Linked DNA regions of Notamacropus eugenii. The protein of the gene in region 1 purifies or fractionates together with the protein of each later gene. This does not show direct contact. Links are inferred from orthologs where the notes say so. Each region holds a gene or a part of one and is shown in the gene's direction. Other genes may lie near its edges.

The links.
Region 2: the proteins of XRN2 (region 1) and CDKN2AIP purify together in Homo sapiens (affinity purification with mass spectrometry; 4 studies listed by BioGRID and IntAct, with this or other methods). This does not show direct contact. The link is inferred for Notamacropus eugenii from reciprocal best matches to the Homo sapiens genes XRN2 and CDKN2AIP.
Region 3: the proteins of XRN2 (region 1) and KPNA1 purify together in Homo sapiens (affinity purification with mass spectrometry; 4 studies listed by BioGRID and IntAct, with this or other methods). This does not show direct contact. The link is inferred for Notamacropus eugenii from reciprocal best matches to the Homo sapiens genes XRN2 and KPNA1.

What each region holds. Positions count from the first base shown.
Region 1 is NC_092872.1:597,031,943-597,038,819, forward strand, and holds the start of XRN2 (5'-3' exoribonuclease 2), read left to right. Parts: upstream 1-3,876; 5' UTR 3,877-4,376; coding exon 4,377-4,451; intron 4,452-6,877. UniProt on the Homo sapiens protein: Possesses 5'->3' exoribonuclease activity. May promote the termination of transcription by RNA polymerase II.
Region 2 is NC_092878.1:101,852,193-101,859,142, forward strand, and holds the start of CDKN2AIP (CDKN2A-interacting protein), read left to right. Parts: upstream 1-3,935; 5' UTR 3,936-4,125; coding exon 4,126-4,391; intron 4,392-4,768; coding exon 4,769-4,899; intron 4,900-5,305; coding exon 5,306-6,786; 3' UTR 6,787-6,950. UniProt on the Homo sapiens protein: Regulates DNA damage response in a dose-dependent manner through a number of signaling pathways involved in cell proliferation, apoptosis and senescence.
Region 3 is NC_092876.1:342,693,819-342,701,466, forward strand, and holds the start of KPNA1 (importin subunit alpha-5), read left to right. Parts: upstream 1-4,633; 5' UTR 4,634-4,762; intron 4,763-5,004; exon of another isoform or gene 5,005-5,111; intron 5,112-7,648. UniProt on the Homo sapiens protein: Functions in nuclear protein import as an adapter protein for nuclear receptor KPNB1. Binds specifically and directly to substrates containing either a simple or bipartite NLS motif.

The sequences.
Region 1 (6,877 bases):
CTTTTAAAGTTTGACTTACATGCCAATGCCTCTATGAAGCCTTCCCTGATTTTCCCATTTGTTAGTGTTCTCTCCCTTAATTTATCTTGTACTCACCTCTGTCTCTTAATAACTATGTGACCATGAGCAAGTCACATCTCTGAGCCTGTTTTCTTATCTGTAAAATGAAGTCAATAGGGCCTAATTCACAAGACTACTGTGAAGTTCAAATGAGACAACATATGTAAAATGTTTCGAAAACTTTAAGTTAGTTATATCAACAAAAAGATCTAACTTCCCTAATTCAGGGTTTACTAAATTTTTACGAATTTTCTTTTTACTAACCTATTCCCTCCTTTCTAACATAATACCAATCAAATCAGTTCTTAGGTGTTTAAAATCTTTACTTTCATGGCAGACCTAACATTAAAATGGGTTATCCTTCTGATAATAAAGTTTAACATCACATCTGTTTTACTCAAAGATGCAGAGGTTTTTTTTTTGGTTAAGAGTTTAGGACTTAATTACATCTCTGATTTTACATTCTACATACATACATTTTACCTTCTAAATACATTTACATTCTATGTGAGTATCTTAGAATTAATTCAGAGTTCTTATTTGGATTTACAAGCTGACATTTAAAATAACATGCCATCTCTATAAACACTACACATACACAAGACACAGCAAGCATACAGCACTTCTGTTCTATTCAAATCCATCCTTCATACAGCTGCCAAAGTAATTTTCTGAATATGTAAGACTTGCTGACCCTACTCAGAAACCTTTATTAGCTTCTTATCATTTACAGGATAAAACACCTATAGGTCCTTTAATACCCTCTACAATCTAGTTCTCTAAGTGTTTCTTTCTTTTAAAATTTTAAAATTCATTTATTTTATTTCTGAATACATTTTCCTTTACCCTTTCCACTGAGCTTTCCCTTATAACAAAGATTTAAAAGGAGGAAAAATGCCAACTAAAGCCAATACGTGTCTGACAACACAAGCAACATTCTACATGCGGTCTCCCACTTTTACAACAAAGCTGAATTTGAATTATATTCTCCTCCAGGGCTAAGATCTTTAATTTCACAGGGTTCATTTCAGTTTATTGCTCTTTCCATGTACATTGCTGCAGTCACTGTGAATACTGTATTCTGGGTAACTTATCTTTCTTGGCTGGTTTCACTTTACTCCTCCTTCCCATATTTCTACTTTCCCATCAAATTGGACTTGTGTGTTTCAATCTTGTTATACTGTCTCTTAATTTTACTGGGCATCTACCACCACTAGAATGCATCTTGGAATGGTGAAAGTTTCTTCTTCTCCAAGGTTAAGTTCAGGTTGTACTTCTACCATAATACTTTCTCTTAACCTCCCTAAATGTTCTTTATTTCTCTGTAAATTTTCCTGGAGTACTGAGTCTGGACATGTCCTTGGCCTACTACATTCTATTTTCTATCATACTTAGCTGTGTATTCTCCTTTTCTTAATCCTCATTCTTGACCTCTTTGCAGCCAACTTGTAGATCACCTTCTTTTCCTTGGTACTCTCCTGTCTGTAGGTTTCCACGACAATATTCTATCCTGGTTCTCCTCTTACTTGTCTGATTACTCTTTTTCTGTCTCCTTGGCTGCATCTTCATCTATGTCAACCTGTTAACCCCAGGTGACCCCAAAGGGTCTGTTCTGAGTTGTCTTCTTTAGTATATTCCATTGGTAATCTCATCAATTCACATGGATTCAATTAGCTATGCTGATGCTTCTCAGATCTACTTATCCAACCTTCTACATTTTCATCTCCACCTACCTACGGGACATTTCAAACTCAGTGTATTGTAGATATTTTAAACTTAACATGTCCAAAATTCAATTAATTACCTTCCTCTCCTAAATTCTCCCCTTTTCCTATCAGTCACCACCATCCTACTAGTCACTCAGGCCCTCAACCTAGGTTTTATTCTTGACTCTCAACTGTTACCCCCATACTTAATCAGTTGCAAAGGTTTGTCAATTTTACCTCTGTAACATCTCTCATATATGCTTCCTTCTTTCCTTTGACACTGTCACCACCCTGGTGTAGGACCTCATTACCTCATGCACAAGCTACTGCAATAGCCCACTGGTTGGTCTCCCTGATCTTCCTACATCACAAAAGTGACTATGTCACCTACTTTTCCCTAATCAACAAACTCCAGCTCCCTAGCACTTCCAGGACAGAATAAAAATTCTCTTTGGTACTCTAAGCCCTTCAAACCTACCATTTTATCCCCACATTTTCAGTCTTCTTTATGCTCCCCCATGAAGTCTGTGATCTAGTGACACTTGCTGGTCCTCACACATGACATTCCCATCTCCCAACTATGGACATTTTTACTGACTGTCCCTCATTCCTGGAATGCTCTCAGCGCCTTTCCTCTGCTGATTATCATCAAATAATATTGTACATATCTTACATAATTTTGCATTGCCTGTCCTATTTGACTATGAGAGGAAGGACTACCTTTTGCTATTCTTTGTATCCTCCAAGCTTAGTACAGTGACTGGCACATAGTAGGAACTTAATAAAACACTTATTTGACAACAATAGATTGTAAATTTGAACGACTGCTTTTGGATCACTAGTGCCTAGCACAGAGCTTTGTATGTAGAATAGTCTTCATCATCTCCAACTCCTGGCTTCCCTAGCTTCCTTCAAGTCCCAACTAAAATCCTAAGTCCTATAAGAAGCCTTTCCCAATCTTTCTTAACCTAGAGCTGTCTTTCTTATTATTTATTCCTTATTTGTTATTAAAATTAGTTACTATTTATCTTGTATATAGTTTGTTTGAACATATTTGTTTTCTGTGAGTTCCTGCCTTTTTGGTATCCCTGGCACTTAGCACAGCGTCCTGCACACAGTAGGCTTTTATTAGACCGTTATGGGTGGACTAACTAGTAGCTGATTGTTGACATTTGCGATGGCTTAAAAATACATCTTCCTTACCATAAAATTAACTGCAAAAGTTTTCGGTTATTTAAAAAGCCTAAAGAAATTTTGAAACCTTAAACTTCGTTGGCTCAAACATACATACCATATGAATACAAATATCTAGAAACCTAGAAGGGGATTCTGTCCCTTTAAGATGAAAATGAATGGTAGAGCAGTTTGCTTGGAGTGCAGAAAAGGCCCAAACGCTGGACTTGGGAGTCCTTAGACACGCTTTTAAATCCCATCTCGCTACTAAAGCCACAACGCTTGAGGCGAATCGCTTCAGTTCTACGGGCATATTTACTTATTTTTAAAAATACGGAAGCAGAACTAGTTATTCTCTAAATGCTTTCTTTCCAGCGCTAAATCCTGTAACTCAGGGGTTCTCAAACTTTTTGGTCTCAGGACCCTTTTACATGCTTAAAAATCGAGACCCCAAAGAGCTTTGTGTTTACGTGGGTTATGGCTTTCGATATCTAGCTTTAAAACCTTTGGTACTATTACGGAGATCATTTTGACCCCGTCGACCCCCGAGAGGGCCCGGAGGGACCCAGAGTTCCCTTGACTCCGCTTCAGAACCCCTGCTGTAACTTAGGCGGGGCATTTCCCCAAGTGGCACTCAAAGGGTCTATCTACTGGGCACCACTCAAAACTAAACAAACATCGCCAAGTTTAACTTTAAAACGACTTCGTTATTCGAGAGAGATCGCAGATGCCCACAAGTTACTGTTCAAAGGCTCCGGGTGGACGTAGGGGTAACAAGGTAAAACAAAGCGGGTTCGACCCCCAGAAAAGATCCCTGAGGCTTCCACGCTAGCGCGGCCAGGGTGGCTCGCCATGAGCGGAAAGGCAGACAAAAGAAGTCCTTTTTGGCCCCTCCCCAATGGCCGAATTCCTTGGCCGACCAGCAGGGTTAGGTCCCACAAACAAGTTTCCTAGACTGGAGCCGCTCCTCGGTGCGGGGCGCGAGGTTAGGCCGCGGCCGTCCCGAGGCCTCCTTCCCACCTGCGCCGCTCAATCAAGGCGGGGGTGGGGAACAGTTGCGCGCCGGGCACTCGGGTGGAAGCGCTCCAGATAGGCCCCGCCTCATCTACCGTGAGCTCGGGCCGCCAGGGCGAGGCCTCCGCCGGAACGACGAGGGATGACTGGGGGCCCAACCCCTAACAGTCTCTTTTGGGGTAGCGCGGCTTGCGCCCACTCTTTCTGGCGCCGCCCCAGTCGGGTCACTCCCTCCTCTCCCTCCCCCCGGCGCTCTTTTCCCGCCGTGCTCTGCCGCGGAGGCCGCGTGGCGTCACTTCCCCCCGCTCGGCCTGAAGGTGGGCGGAAGTGCCTGCCCTCTGCCGCCGCCGCTGCCTGTCTCTCTGGTTACGCTTTTTTCCCCGGGACCGGGCTTGCCTACTCAAAAAGCGCCCGACCGACACTATGGGAGTCCCGGCTTTCTTTCGCTGGCTGAGCCGCAAGTATCCGTCCATCATCGTGAACTGCGTGGAGGAAAAGGTAAAGGGGGAGGACGGGGAGGGGTCGTCCGAGGCGTCGGCGGAGAGGCGGGGGGCTCCGGACGTGACTAGGCCCAGCGTCTCCCGCCGCCCCTGTTCCGCCTGTTGTCGAGCCCGAGTCGGGGCCAGTCCGCACCCCGGAGCCCTGACCTGCCCGCGTGCGGGAGACCCCCCCTCCCACCTTTGGTGTAGCCTGCTAAAGAGTCCCCACCCCCTTGGGGATTCCCCGCGCGGAGACACGCGGCCGTGCCTTCTAAGTTCCACGGGCGGGTGGCTGTGTCGTGGGTGGAGGGAGCGGGCCTGCGCCAGGGCGGGAGAGCGGTGGTCGGGCTGGGCCGGGGGAGGCAGCGTGCGCTGTCTCCGCGCTGCATCTTTTGGGTCGACCTCGGCCGAGCCCCATCTCCGCCCCCCCTGCTCCTCCCTCCCGGGCCTCTCCGGTGTGCGGTGGTTACTTTGTGGGGGACTCTTGCGTGTGGGAGCCGGCAGCCTTCCGCTCCTTCCCCCGGGCGCGCTCACCGAGTCTGCCGCGTTTTTATCTCCTACTTGTGGACTCGTAATGTAAATAATCGGCTCCTGAACAGCGCGCCCCACGGGCCCTCCGAATGGGGGGAGGGGAGGGGGTGTCGTCTTATTTGTGGTTACAAGCTTTGCCTTAGTCTTGAATTAAATTTCTTTTTAATGACCAAAACTCTAACCCCATCTTTCGAAGGGGGAAAAAAAGCCTTGTAAGAAGTATGCAAAATTAAAACAATGCTATGCCTAAGAGATCAATTTATTTTCCATCTATCTCTCTTTTCCAGGAGGTAGGTAACAGTTTTTATCATCTCAGATCCCTGTTGGTCATTGCATCGATCAGAGCTCTGACTGTTGGAAGGGTTTGTGTCTCAGTTGTAGTCACTGTAGAAATGGTTTTCTGGGTTCTGCTCAGTCTGGGGTGCATCAGTTCCTACACGTCTTCCAGGTTTCTTTGAAACCTACGCGTTCCTCCTTCATTAGTGGATTACGGTGATGTGCACATGCCAAAAGATGGGCGCCCCCCAGGCTTGCACCACCGAAAGAGCGGCTACAATTATTTTATAACTAAGGGTCCTTTTCTTTCTTTCCTTGACTTTTGGTTTGGGGTATCGCTTGGCCCAAGGATATGCGCAGTTCGGAAACTTTGGGGGTAGGAGTCCAAGTTGCTTTCGAGAGTGGCTGTACCAATTAAGAGTCCCACGGACCGTGCATTGTTTTCATGAGCTTTTAGAAAGGTGCCTGCAGCTTGTTCTTTGATGTTTTTCACGTAAATTGATTTAATCCCCATGTTCCCCCCCACCCCCCAATCCTAAAGAAAAATAAGAGGGAAAAGTATAAGTATGATTTCCCTGAGATTTAGCAATTTCCTAGTTGCATTGTTGGAATCTTAAACTTTTTTGGGTAGGGGGAGATAAGCAGCCCCTTATTGCTGCTCCCATTTTTATGTTTTAGATTTAGGTAATTTTGAATTATTTATATATATATATATATTTTTTTTTGCTTGCCCGTGATATTGTTAGACCTCATTTTTTATCTCTTCTTTGAATTAAAGGCAGGAAAAAAATTGCATTACTTTTCTCCTTGAATAAAATTGGCATAATAAATGGTTCTTTTTGCATTTTGAGTTTTAATAGGACCTTTATTTTAATTTTTTCACCTTCAGGACACACCTCAGATTATATTTTATATTGTTTCTAAAAGAGGAAAGTTCTTTATTTCATTGTTCTTTGAGTTTTTTCAGATGCATATTCCTATGTGTCCTAGAAAATCAAGGTATTCAGACAATTGCAATAATTCACTGAATTTGTTATGTTTATTATATCTACATTGATTTCTACGTCAAAGTACACTTCATTGAATTCAGATTTGTGTAAATTGGGATTGATGGGTGAATGAATATTGGCTTCAAACCTTACAATAGAATTAGAACTTGGAGCAGGCACCCCCCATTTTGCCCTCAAAAGGTTCAACTCATTCAGATTTCAGTAATTAATAAGAACCTATCGAACACATTTTTGGAGAGCAGATTAAGTAACTTTTCAAAACAATGCTGTATTGCAGCTGTTAACCCATATTATTATGTCAGAACCATTGGTAAAAAGTACCCCTCTCCCAGCTGTCAGCCCTTTCTATTAAGTTGGGATAGGTAACTGGTTAGTACTTCTGCACTTTTCACCACATACATTTCTTTTGTGTTTCTTCTTCAGTTCCCCTACTTCACTTTTTCTCCCTTTGTTATTCTTTTCCAAACTCTGCCTTTGCCTGTGTTAATGACATTCATTAGAAAAAGGTTATTGATTGCATTACTGGGTTAATAGTAACTGAAGGAAGGTAGATTGGGGGGAGTTGGTTGGTGTATGTCAGAAAAAGCAGTGGACTCTGGAATGTAAATCAGAAGGCTTCATGAAGGAG
Region 2 (6,950 bases), on another chromosome or scaffold:
TGTGAGCCAGAAAACCTGCTTACTTCGAGTACTGCGATTTTTCCTCCCTAATTGTCTGTATGTTGGTATGACTTCCTTAAAATCTATCTGTCTTATCTGTGTCTTTCCCAAAATGCAAGGGATTCCCTAGCGCAGGGATAAGAGTTTGCATCTCTCTGTGGGTAGCAGAAATGAAGTATACAACTGGTTCTATTTGTCAGATTCCAAGAGGCATCCACTGTGGATGAATTAGGGCAGCAAACTATGTCATTGAACGACTTCTTTGGCCTCTGTAGTTTTGAGGTGCCCTCTATCTCTACTCCAATAATACTACACTCAAGAAAGACTCAGGTTTTATCTCATTTTTAAAGACGTCACTACAAATTAAGAGAACCTACACAGTCATGTCAGAAAGTAATTTGCCTTTTCTAATATTCTTCTGAGTTGGATTCTAGTTAGTTACCTCAAGAAACCCACTGAGACAGGATCCCAGTGAGGGGACATCAGTTGGTGTCTACCTTTATCGAAGCAGTTTCAGATGGTGTCTGCTGTAAAGGCTGGTCCAGTCTGTGTGACTTCCACTATGAGGGTTCCTGGTGTCTCCCATCCTATTGACACACCCCTTTCCCTGACCCTGGCCTGTCCCCTGCTACCTGGGGCTGTTGGATGCCACTGCATCATTAGGATCCAATAGTTTTCCTGGAGGCCACTTTGCACTACAAGAGTGCTGGACCTCTGGCTTCTACTGCAACTCCCAATAAAGTGTAGTGAATAGGACTGAGGAATACAATTGTTCTCTACCCTGCCATGCTCCCACCCTTCCTGGGAGGTTACCAGGTACTGCTTCACCTGGAGGGTTCCATATTCACCCCCTCATACATACTCCCCCCTCTGCAGCATCCACTAAGGGATTATCTGAAAGACGTGACTGACTCCATCCCACCAACTTTACCTCCTCTAGGACTGCCTAGGGCTACTGCAGAACAGGGGATCCCATTACTTTTCTGGATCCTGCCTTCCCGTCACCCCCTACCCTGCTGCTACCTCCCAGGGTGTTGTTCTTCAGAATTGCATTCTACAGGGCAAACAGTAAAACTGCAGAAAGAGGTAAACTTTAAGCAACTCCTTCCCCTCCCCCCTTGCCTCCCAGGAGAGTAGCTAGCAGGACTAGCTACCTACCCGGCATTGGAATTCCTAGTTAGCATTCTGCCACTCCCTTACTACAACAGCAAAAGAAGTTCATGCCGGACTAATTTTATTATCTTTGACATTGCAACTATACTGGTAGATGGGCAGGATGCTACAGGCATAGTTTACCTAAATTTTAGAAAGGTATCTGACAAAGTCTCTCAAGCAATTCTTGTGGAAAAGATGGATGTGTGTACTAGATGATAATACAAAGAGATTCAGAACTGGTTGAATGAACGTATTCAAGGAGTAGTTATCAATGATTTACTTTAGGAGGACAGAGAAGTGCCCAAGGCCTTGTGCTACTTAACATTTTTATAAGTGACTTAGATATAATCATGGGTAGCATTTCCAAATGACACAAAACTGAGAGGGATTCCTCCCAATGATGGATTTCAGTCAGGATCCAAAAAGATCTTGACAAGCTAAAACATCAGGGTGAATCTAAAATGAAATTTAATAGTGATAAATCTTAACACTTGGATTAAACAATCTTGACACTTGGACTAAAAAAACAGATTTCACAAGTAACTAAATGGGGGAAGCATAGGCAGCAGTTTATCTGAAAAAGCACGTAGAGTTTGTTCATGGCCTAAATCTCACTATTAGTCTGAAATATACTATAGCAGCTGAAAAAGCTGATGAAGTTTTGGGCTCTATTGAAAGTCACAGGAATAAAGAGCGAGTAGTACCCCACTCCTTGATTTGACAAGAGACCACATCGGGAGTATTTTGGAAACCTGAGTGGACAGCAGCAACTATACTGCGGCTGGATTTGGGGGTTGAAGGGCTGAAGAGACAAGCTGAACTTGAAGTGACAATTAAGGCATCCAGTGATTCAAACTCCTAAGACCAGGGCTGGATCCAGGAGGCATGGGCAGGAATACTTGAAAATCCTATGAGCGGGTGAGATCAGGGAAAGAGATGCGATGAGAGTGTGGTTGAGTCCTTTCAGAAGGGAGTGCTGGGCCCACTTCATTTCAAAATCAGCAGGCTGAAATTCTGGGAGATTCCCTGAACAACATACCACCCAAGCACAATTTTTCGCTAGTTATGCATCCCTTTGTGGTACCCGTGTTAACTTAAATTGTTTTGACCGGATACGCTGTGGTTTAACCAGGTCTACACTTAACTGAACTGGTCGGTCAACAAGCATTTACGGGCAATCGCCGTTTCCCTTCCAAGCCGTGGCCAACGACCACGCGGCTGGCTGACACACTCGTCACGTAGCCCTGTGTCCCCCGTGCTTACACAGTGACCTTATCCCGACCCTGAGCCACCTCGGCGGCCATCGTCAGCGGGGCACACGCCCCCTCCCCGGAGGAAGTCAGGGCTAAAACGGGAGACCCTCAATCGCATTCTCTCTAAGGTGCAGCAAGCAGGGACTTCTCCAGACACCCTCCGGGAGCCTGAAGGCAGGCCAGGGCCGACCCACAGCTGAATGGGACAATGACCACGTGTCCCCCAGTCCCGCGCCGCTAGCCTGGCCTCTCCCGGTGCCTTTGGGAGCGGCGCCTCGCGCCCGCCCGCGCCGCCACCTGCGCTTACTTCTCCGGTAGGCCAGGCCGCCCGAGGCGGGGTGCCGCGGCTGCCTCGGTCCTGCCAGGTGTCAGCTGCGGGTGCCAACGTCAGGGCGGCTCTGCAGTCCCTTTCACCCTAACACCTTTTAGTGGCTGCACCCGGCAGTCCACAGGGCGCGCGGGGCAGCGCGGGGCGGCGGCTCCGCGCACCGTCCGTACTTCTGTCCCTCGGCACCGCGGCAGACAGGCTCCGGACCCCAGGCCCGCCTCACAAGGGCACCATCCCTCCCAGCCAAGGCCCTCGCGTGGGAGGGGCACAGCTCCTCGGAGAAGGGCGGGGGTCGGCCTCCTCTAGCGTCCGCGCTCCGGGAGGCGGCGGGGGGAGAAGAAGCTCCAACGAGCTGGGAGCGCTCCCACTACGCGCTCCGGGCTGGATCAAAGGCTTCTGACTTTAATGAACACCCGGCGGGGCTGTCTCCGGTCTCCGCGGGGCGGCGGGCCGCGCACCGAGGCTGCTCCGCTTCCGCAGCTCCCTAGAAGCGTCCGGTTCGGGCCCCCCAAGCCAGCAGGGGGCGCCCCGGGCCCGGCCGCCCAGCTCGGGAAGCAGACGAGGGCCGCCCCCGCTCCATCCGGGTCTCCTCCTTCGGCGGCCCGTAACGACAGGGGGCGGGCTGGTCAGCCAGCGGCCGGGGCGGGACGGGGTGGCAGCGGCGGCGGCGGCGGCGGCAGGATCCGGACTTCCGCCCCTTGACGACGGCGGCGACGGCCGAGGCGACGCCGCGAGCCCCTGGTCGCGTTGGGCCGAGGCTTCTGAGGTATCACCCTCACCCCCAGCACCCTGGCCGCCGTGGTCGAGGCCTGCACTTCCCCTTTCGAGTTATTCGCCGCCGCCTGCCCGGAGACGCAGCAGCCGCAGAACGACCCCGCCCTCACCAGCCGCCGGAGCTGCCGCAGTGGGGGAGGAGCGGATCAGGGAAACCAGCGGCCGGGAGCGGAACGCCTCTCTGCGCCGGCGCGTCACAAAAGCGGGAGCTAGTGGGCACCTACGCGCCCATTGGTCTGTCTGACGGCTTTCAGGACGCTCCGAGGGGCGGGTTCAGCGTTCCAAGCCGCCCGCCACGGGCTGGCCGTCCCTTAAGCCCCGCCCTCCTCCTCTGCCTCGGCCAACCCGAACCGAGGACCGCGGCCGAGCCGCCTGCGACGGCGGGGGCTCGCGCCGGAAGGAAGAGACGACGCGCGAGTCCCGGAGAGGTTATAAAAGGAGAGGGGGTGCCTGGCGGCGGGCGGAAGTGGGCGTTTCGGCGCTGCGGCTCGGCTTTCGTTGGTCGGCCGTCCTCTGGGTTGCGAGAGCTACCGGAGTCCTCCGTGACAGGGCCTCCTTCGTCCTGTCCCTTGTCCCCGGCCGGCCCTGGCGACGGACGACACAAGCGGGTCGGGCATGGCGCGGGCGGCCATCTCCGAAGTGTCCGAGTACTTAAGCCAAAATCCCCGGGTGGCCGCCTGGGTGGAGACCCTGCGCAGCGACGGCGAAACGGACAAGCACTGGCGCCACCGACGCGAGTTTCTGCTTCGCAATGCCGGAGACCTGGCCCCGACCGCCACCACCGAAGCCGCCTCGGTGGAGTGCGGGGACCGCCGTCGGCAGCTGCAGCAGCTCGTCTCCTCCTCCATGGCCTGGGCCAACCATATTTTCTTGGGCTGCCGGTGAGTGATCCGCGCCCGGTCCGCCCTGATGGTCCGCGGCAGGGCCGAGGCCTGGGGGGGCAACGCGGCCAGCGAGGGGGGGAGCCCCGGAGCCAGACGGGCCGCAGGCCCTTCCCTCGCTCCCCGCCCGCTCCTCCCGGCCCTCCTCCCTCCGGGTCTGTGGCGCGGACGTCATCCGTGTTCGCAGTCGGTCAGCTGGATGAATGGCCCGCAGGCCCCGCGGGGGGGAGGAGAGAAGGCGGAGTCCATCCCTCCCTGAGCACGTTCATTCCTGGGCCGCTTGGGAGGCAGAGAATCCTCGCGGTGGCTCGGGGGCTGATGGGAAGACTTGTTTATATGTGATGTGGAGAAGAGTCAACTTGTGTTTCTTTTTTTAGGTATCCACCCAAAGTTATGGATAAAATACTTAGTATGGCTGAAGGCATCAAAGTGACAGATGCTCCAATCCATACCACAAGAGATGAACTGGTTGCCAAGGTGAAGAAAAGAGGGATATCGAGTAGCAATGGTTAGCAGATCATAGATGTGAACATATATAGGAGCATAGAACATAAGTTTATTTTAGTGCTGTGAACTCATGTTTCATATTAACTTGTATTTCTGACATAGCCAAACTACTATTTAATGTGTTATTTTTTTAAGGACACTAGTTCCAAACTTTTTTCTACATATTCTTTGGTTCTTAATTTTAAATCCCTTTGACTGTTTTTAAACTGTCAAATATATGTTTCATTTTAAGAAATTTGTGTCATGATTACATAGTAATTTTGTCCTTGGCATTATACATACCAAGTTTTTTGCTTTTGTTTTACTAAGCATCTTTCTTGCATTTTATGTCTAGCTTGCTAGTAATCAAGTGGAATTAGTCAAATAACCTTTTTTCATTTTTTTTTTTGTTTGTTTTTAATTTTTAGATGGGGTAGAAGAGCCATGCAAAAAGCGGGCAGTTGAAGGAAAGAGTGGTTCTGCTGGTGGTCAGGATGCTTCGAAGACTTCTGGCAAAACAGAGCAGGCATCACCAAAGCAGGAAGTCAAGGGGGGGCTAATGCCATCCACTAGATCTGTGGGAAGTGGAGAGAACATAAATCGGAGCTCTAGCAGCCCTCTGGAGAGGGGGAGTGTACCTTCCCAAGAGGTGACAGGACTCAAGTGTCAGAATAGTCCCAGTGATCTGACAGTTGAGAACCCTGGGTCAAAGCAAAGCACCAGCACTTCTCAGGTTGCAGCAGGCCCTGAAAAGGTTTCAGATGTGGAAACTTCAGACAAACATAGTACAATACTAATTTCATCTGTGGCAAGATCTAGTAGTCTTGGGACTGATTGCAAACAACAAAACGTGTCACCTAAAAAGAGTGCTTTGGAAAGTACTTCATCTTTGGCTTCTCAGAGCAGTTCAGAGACAGAAGTACCACTGCTGATGTCTCAGAGCAGGTCAGAGACAAGTGTACCATTGTTGGGTTCCCCAAGTAGCGAAGAAGTTGAGTTGCCACTGTTATCCTCCAAACCTGGTCCAGAATTATTGCCCCTATTAGGTTCCAAAACCACCTCGGATGTAAGCACATCACAGTCAACTTCCAAAACTAGCTTGGAGTCAAGCGTTTCATCATCTGTTTCTAAGAACAATTCCTCATCCAGCATGCAAATGTTAACTCCCAAAAGCACCACCTCAGCAAGCACTTTACTGCTGACTTCTAAAAGCAGCTCCCAGGTAGCTGCTACACTGTTGGCTTCTAAAAGCAGCTCTCAGGTAGCTGCATCTCTGTTGTCTTCCAAAAGCAGCTCCCAGCCAAGTGGGTCGCTGTTGGCTCCCAAAAGCACCTCCTTGGCAAGTGTGTCCCAGCTGGCTTCTAAGAGTGGCACATCACAGTTACCTTCCAAAAGTGCTTCACAGTCAAGTGAGAGTTCTGTTAGGTTTTCTTGCAAATTAACCACTGAAGATGTAAAACAGAAGCAACCTTTTTTCAATAGATTGTATAAAACGGTGGCTTGGAAGTTGGTGGCTGTTGGTGGCTTTAGTCCCAATGTGAATCATGGAGAACTCCTAAATGCATCTGTGGAGGCTCTGAAAGCAACATTGGATGTTTCTTTTGTTCCACTAAAAGAACTGGCAGATTTGCCTCAAAATAAGAGTTCTCAAGAAAGTATAGTTTGTGAATTGAGGTGCAAGTCTGTTTATTTGGGTACTGGCTGTGGAAAAAGTAAGGAGAATGCCAAAGCAGTAGCATCAAGAGAAGCCCTGAAGTTATTTCTCAAGAAAAAAGTGGTGGTAAAGATATGTAAAAGAAAATACAGAGGAAGTGAGATAGACGATTTGGTGCTTCTTGATGAAGAATCGAGACCTACAAACTTACCTCCAGCTTTAAAACATCCTCAGGAGCTGCCAGAGCGTGTTTAAAAGGTCACTGCAGAAAGCTCATGAACTGAAGTTTATCTTTGTATTCTAAAATATTGGCTTTCAGACATTTTGTATTGCTTCCCCCCTAGTTTTGTGGAAAACATACGTTCTAGTTGTCTTCACCTAGTAGCAGCAGTTGTAAATAATATTAAAAAATGACAGTG
Region 3 (7,648 bases), on another chromosome or scaffold:
GTAAATTCATATTGTTTATTTCCTTAAAGCTAGCCAAAGCTAGTTTAACTTGTACGTACAAGGAGCCAAAACATAAATTCTGACTGACTGATAAAAGAATGACCAGGCTTAAATATGTTTTAGGACAATCCCAGGATGTCTGTGTCCTTCAGATTTATGGTCCCCATGTCTTTAACTATACCATGAGGGAGGAATTTTCTCAGTTGAATAAGTTGTAAATACAAATTGACAACACAATTGACAAAGTAGTGTCAGCTGGAATTTATGAACCCAGGATATCTGTTTTTCTTTGTCTCTGTATACCAAGATAAGAAAAATTTCACCACTCTGATTACAGACATCCTGTCACAAACAGGTCTTTGAAGCTGCTGACACAGGAAAGGGCATTTTTAGAGCAAAGCTAAGCATTCAGATGGATTACTTCAGGGTGTGACCCTTATTGAGGTTATTAAATTGATATTAAATGATTATCAATACCTACCCACATGAGTTGGTTGAATATTAGGTGTGTCATTTTCTCTTTAGAGAAGTATTATGAAACTCAAATAGAAACCTGGATAAAAATCTTTTTTTTAATGTGGAGTAAAGCATTTTTAATAGCATTTTATTTTTTTCCAATTACATGTAAAGACAGTTTTTAACATTCATTTTTTATAAAATTTTGAGTTCCAAATTTTCTCCTTTCCTCTTTTCCCTCCCCCCAAAAGAGCATGCAATTTGATAAAGATTACATGTATGCAATCATATAAAACCTATTTTCATATTAGCTATGTTATAAAAGAAGAAATAGTTTGCAAAAAAAATAAAATAGTTTACAAACAGAAAAACTATGGGAAAAAGTAAAGAAAGTGAAAATACATTGTTTTGACCTGCATTGAGACTCCATCAGTTCTTCTCTGGATGTGGATAGCATTTTCCCTTGTGAGTCTTTTGGAATTGTCTTGGATCATTGTATTGCTGAGAAGAGCTAAGTCAATCATAATTGATCATCACATAATTTTACTATTACTACGTACAATGTTCTCCTGGTTCTGCTCACTCCACTGTATATCAGTTCATTTAAGTCTTACCAGGTTTTTCTGAAGTCTGCCTGTTCATCATTTCTTATAGCACAATAGTATTTCATTACATTCATACACCACAACTTGTTCAGCCATTCCCCAACTGGTGCATCTCCTCAATTTCCTATTCTTTTTCACCACAAAAAAGAGCTGCTACAAATATTTTTGTATATATTGGTCCTTTTGCCTTTTTTTATAATCTCTTTGGGATACAGAGCTAGTAGTGGTATTGCTAGATCAAAGGGTATGCACAATTTGATCACCCATTAGGCATCGTTCCAAATTGTTCTCTAGAATGGCTGGATCAGTTCACAACTCCACCAACAGTGCATTAGTATCCCAATTTTCCCATATTCTCTCCAAAGTTTATCATTTTCCTTTTGTTATATTGGCCAATTTGATGGGTGTGAGAGGTACATCAGAGTTGTTTTAATTTGTATTTCTCTAATAGTGATTTAGAGCATTTTTTCATGACTATAGATAGCTTTGATTTCTTCTGGATGAATACCTTGACACCTCTGCTTTAGAGAGATCTTTCCCTTCCCAGGCCACCAGTATCAGGGGAATCAGCACTGAAAGGAAAAGACCCTGCTGCAGAGACTATTGACTACAGGAGAGAGTCCAATTTGAGTCCTCAGAGAGTACATATTGACACTAAACAATGGGTACTTTTGTTTGAAGAAGAACATTTTTTTCAAAGCACCTTTACATTTATTATCATACCTTATCCTAATTCAGCAAGGCTGCATGCTAATCAGGAAAAGGTATTTTTGTTCTTATTTTACAGAATATGAAAATGAGAAATTGTGTGCTAAATGACTTTTTCCTTTAAATCAGATCTAGGGCTCAAACACTATTCTTTGGGCTTCCAACCCCAGACTCTTTCCTTCCACTTCCCTTGGTAGTCCAGGGATCAATTTCGTTTGACTGAACAAGGGAGAAAGATATGGGCTGTGGTACTACATAGTCATTTTAACCTCCATCATCCCACGCTTAGGACAGACTTCTCATTCAATTCCTATTTGTCTTCTGAGTATTTGTACTAGGTGATATTGTGGGAGAAAGAAGTACAAAACAAATAATAGGCAGGACTGAAAATTATTATTGTCATTGAAAACAGCTTCCTCTGGTCTGAAGTCTTGTCTGGACAGTGGGCCTGAGACTACTTGAAAACTACTGGGCCTGGCTTTCATCCCTGTGGCCTCATTTACTGTCCTGAACAGCAAGAGGAAGGTAGTTCCAATGGCCAGAGCTACCTCAATGACAGTGAAGGCCAGCAGAGCTTGAATGGTCCCCTGGATGCTGGGCCTGGAGCCACTAGGTTTGAATTCTGCCTTTGATGCTTTAGATGCAGAGGTTTTCAAAGTGGGCCATACCACCCCCCAGGGGGCACTGGAATAATCCAGTAGTACTAGCCTCATAGTGTCTTGGGTGCAATTGGGGGTTATTGAATAAAAATAAAAGGGTGTTGAAAGCATAAGGAAAGAAGATAAGAAAATTTTGAAAAATGGTTGGTACATGTTTCATCTGTTGTGTAACAGAATTAATGAGATTACATTTTCCAAATATACACACAAAATGTAAGTTACAACCAATCAGCGGTCAAATCCACTGACAGGTCTCAATAAGCAAGTATTGGCATGCGAGTATATTGTGCATTGTCTGGAAGTCCAGCACGCGCTGGCAGGAATATGTGCAGGTAATGACTTGTTTACGATATGATACTATACAGTTACATAACACAATATTGCATCATCAAAATTTCAATGAAGGAAAGCCCCCACAAATTTACAATAAATTATTAAATTTAAGATGTGTCATTTAAAAAATATTTTGTATTTTTTTGAAATGACACAAATAAAAAAAGTTAAAGGGTTAAAGAAAGTAGATTTCTGGGAGGGGCACTGAGAAATTTTTTTAAAAGGGGTGATAGGCCAAATAAGTTTGGGAACCTTTGCTTTAGAGATAGGTAACTGTGGCCAAAGGGTGACTATGACCCAGTGACTTATCTCTGAATAATCATATTTGTTATCGTAGGGCGGTTGTGAGGAAAGTGCTTTACAAAACATAAGACACTATGTTAAAGTAAAAGAGTATTTTAAATAAAGCTTTAGTGTTGTTTTCCCTACTTTCGTTTAAGAGATATGGCTCACTTCCTAGATGGTCCTCAGGTCCTTGTTCATACTTCAATGTGTATTTTATTCCCCAGTTTGTAGAAGATGGATTAGATTTATTTAGCATGGCCTTAGAGAGCAGAGGTAGCAGTGAGTGGGATCTTGCTTTGATTGTGAAGCTTTTCTAACTGAACACAGCCTACAAAAATGTGATGGAGGTAGTGGGCTCCTTCCAAGTAGCTTTCTTCAGAAGGAGGTTGGATGGCCACTTGTGTCAGATGTTGTAGAGGGGAATGGGCCATCTTTTCAGCTACAAGCAATTCTCAAAAGCCATATGCTAAGTCAGAGGGGCTGAGAATCCACGGGGTGGACGAAGGGAATTCCTGCTTGCGCCTCTGAAGCTTTGTGACTCTAAGAGTCCTGGACATGAGAGACACAAGAGAAAGGGATCAGAACAGGTCTCCTGGGTAGGCCCCACCTTGGCAAGGTCAGGAGATCCCAGATTCGCTGGGACATTCATTCCTACTAAGAAGCTAACTGATCAGCCAGAATCCCATCTGCGTTGGAACGATCTTCCAGGCTGGTCAGCAGCACAGTTTGCAGTCAAACGTCGGGCCCCCTGCTGAGGGGCTCTAGAGCCGTCCTCAAGTCAGGGAGATGCGGCTTCTAGGTCCACATCAATACTGACCAGCTCAGTGCCGCAAGCACCACATGGGGCTATAAACCAAGCTAGGGCTCGGAGTCCTCCCCGGGATGGAAACAAAAGGGCAAAGTCAAGACTTCGGGGCTACAAATGTTTATCAAGCATCGGCTGTGGATAACACAGGCAGCAGTAACGCAGAAAGGTATTCGGACGAGTGCAGACAGAGCAAAGAGATATTGTCCCCCAGGCCGTAATCCACCGTAGGGAAGTGCGTGAAACGGGCCAAAAGGCCGGGTAGGCCGGTCCGAGCGCCCCTCCCTCCTCCGCGGAGGGACGACGCCCAGGCTCCAAAGCTCCCGGTAGCTTCTGCGAGGCCTGTTCCCTGCCCTTCCCTAGTAATCCGACACTAGTTGCTCCTCCCTCCTTATTATCACTCTCCTAATCCCCAGGCCCTTCACTCCCCAATATAAACCGAGTACTGCAGACTTCATCTTCAATCCATCCGTTTTTCTGAGCTAGACCGATCCTAGTTTTTCTTCTTTTGAACACAAGCTGAAGGGGGAGGGGCTGTTGGTTAGAAGCTGTTACGGGCGGGTGGAACTACAATTCCCAGAAACCTGTCCGGGACCCTAATCGCGGAAAGGGAACGCGCAGGCGTAGAAACTGAGCTTCCCCCTCTTCTCCCCCCCCCCCGGCCGCCCCCTCCCAACCTCCGACGTATGTAAGCTGCTATCACGCAGGCGCGCTCCGAACGCCGGCTTCTCTGGTCTGGCTGCTTGCTCGGTACGCGGCGGCGGCGGCGGCGGCGGCGGCGGCGGAGAGCGAGCGAGGCCTGGTGAGCGCCTCTGAAGCCGCAGGTCAGCTGTGCGGTCGAGAGAACCGGCGGACGCTTGACGCCCCCACTTTACCCACCGTTCGCTCGAGATCGGCTGCCACGGAACCAGGTGGGCGCGCGGGTGGCGGCGGTTGGGGAGGGGAAGGCGTCCGCCAGGATCCTCCCTCTTTTTCTTCCTCCCTCCCCCCTCCCACTCCGGGCTGTCCTCCCGCGGGGAATGGGGAGAGGCCCCGGGGCGGGGGCGGGGAGGGCGCGAGCTCCGATCCCTGGGCCTGTCATCTTGCGCCTTCTCCTCCTGTAGCCGCGCAGCTAACGGCAACGTTGGGGAGGCCCTGCCGGCCTGGGGCTGGGCCCTGAGGTGCTGGTCACTGTCGGGAACGCCGGCTGCGGCGGATCGGCGGCGGCGAGAGCAGCGGGAGGAGGAGGAGGAGGAGGAGGAGGAGGAAAGGGAGGAGGAGGTGTGTGTGGGGGAGGGGAGCTAGGACTGGGCGCCCGCAGGGGCGTCGACGGCGGGGAGGGCGAGCCTAGACGCGGTGCCTGCGTGGTAGATTGGGGTGGCGGGGGGCGCCGGAGGAGCTTGTCATAGGCTATGTGAGTGTGTGTGTGTGTGTGCGTGCGTGTGTGACATCGTGTTAATCCAGACAGGAAGGGACAGTCCGGGTGGGAGTTCACAAGTTCGGGCGCCCCCACCTACCCCCCGGCCCCAAAGCGGAGCGGATGGGTATTTTTGGGGGGAGGGGGGAGACAAGGCAGGACGCTGCGCTGTGGAGGTGGGGGTGGGGCGCGGCTACGGCGACAGATGTCATAACAACACCGGCCTGAAAAGGCTGACGGGGGTGTGGTAATTATAGGCATGACAGAAGCACTTGTGACTAGAACGCGGATAAATGGCGATTCGTGTGCCGGCATGGCTGGGAGGTGTGACGTGCGAAGAGTTCTGGAGGATGGTGCCCAGTGGCGGGGAGGTGGTAGAGCCCGCTGAGGGGGCCTGGGCTGGGGGAGGCAAGGACAGCCCTGAATGCTGCCCCGATTATAAAACTGGAGAAATAAAAAAATACATTAATCCTTCAAAAATTCTGTTTAAGCTCTTTAGGACAAATAATCGCAAAATACTTCTACCTCCATACTGTCTTACAGTATGATATGTCAAAGGACCATTTTACTAAGCTCTTTTTTGTGATTTAATCTATACATATGGGTTAATCTTTTTTTTGTTCTCCTGTCATTAATGGCCCTCTTTATTTTTATCTTGTTTTTGCTGTTTTTAATTTTTGAAATGATCAAGAGCTTGTTTTCTAGATCCTTTGAGTAGTAATGAATTACTCATTTTCTCATTGGCAGAAATCATAAATAACCTCATGTATTTATTGAAATAAATTGTTATACTTGCAGCACGTGGATTTCATAATATGGAGAAGGTGTGTTTTTGGACTAGAGTGGATGGAGGACTAGGGGAACTAGTAGAGCAATTGGGCAGACCATGATCCATGTCGGGGCAGAAGAAAGCCCTAAAGACTTGAGACAGGCCAGGAGGATTTGGGACTGAAGCTGATTACCTTCTTAGATTAATTTCAACAGAGCTAGGCTACCCAATCAAGCTTTCTGGAAGGGTCAGGGTGCAGTGTGAGAATACTGGATCTGGAGGTACTCCCTTTAAGGGTACAAATCACAGCCCCTTCTTACCTACCTGTTACATGCAATTCCTGCCCCTTGGACTACCGTAAACACATCACACAGAGCCTCCTGAAATGTTAAGGGCTGCCCTTCCTTTCCCTTGTTGTAATCGTGCACATGGGTTGTCAGATCAGTTACCTCTTACTTCATTTGCCCAACCTATCTTTTTCACTCATACATTCTTTAGTAACATTCTTTAATTTATTTCTCCCTATAATTCCATGTTTCTTTATTTTTTTTTGTATATTTATATAGTCTTTGCTTGTGCTCACTGCGGGCGTGCTCCGTTACCCTTTGGCTTAGTCTCATTTTCAGTTATTTGGACACTAGTGTTCAATGACACTGTTCTCACTACAACACTAGAAGAATGTTGGTATTTTTAAAATGATATTTAAAATACTCGTATTTTTAAAGGCTTAGGGTAATTAAAAGACCTTTGCAACATCTCAAAAGCAGTCCAACTTCTCTTGCTTTTCAATTTTGGGTCCAACTCATTGTCCATTTGCTGTATATGAACAAGATTTATGCTAATAGTCAAGCTATATAGATTTTCTGCCCAGTTACATATCATTGTGTGGATAATAGGGTTTTTTTTTCTACCTGTTCTTTCCTCTGTGGATGATTCAGATTTTTGAGTGATTATATTTGGCTCCAAAATGAACTATTCTATATGAAACTAAAATCCAGTTTTGAGTAAATCACTGACCTGTCCTATTTGTTTCTGAAGAATTCTAGGTTCGAATGCTGTTTATTTATTGCCAGTATTGTTCCCCTTAAGTAGTACAGGTGGCCAAGATAACCTTAATATTTGATCTGAAATGTTACTTTAGAATAATATATTTACAAAAAACACAGTAATTGTTAACTAATCTAGTGCAGTACTTTTATCAGTTACATATGTGAGGAGGAATTGTATGAAGAACACCTAAATATTACTAAATAATACTAAATAGTATGAGGAATACTTAGGAAAGGATTACGTATGATCCTTAAGTTTACCATCTGGTAGAGGAGATAAACTATACAGGCGTCAAAACATACAGATCAAAGTGCAGAAATAAATATCAGTTAAAATTTTATTATTTATTCTGCTGGAGTGAACCAGCTTGCTTATATTTAGCTTATGTTTGAGTTGAACTCTCTTCTCATCACTCCCTATTAAAATCCTTAACTTTCTTCAAGGAGCCAGTCCAGGTGTCATTTTCTACAGGAACCATTCTTGGTACCCCATAGTTGTGTTTATTGAAATCACAACTTATATTTTTACTTAGCTTAAATGTTGTATTTCTCCTGTAGAATGCAATCTTGAGTTCAGGGACAT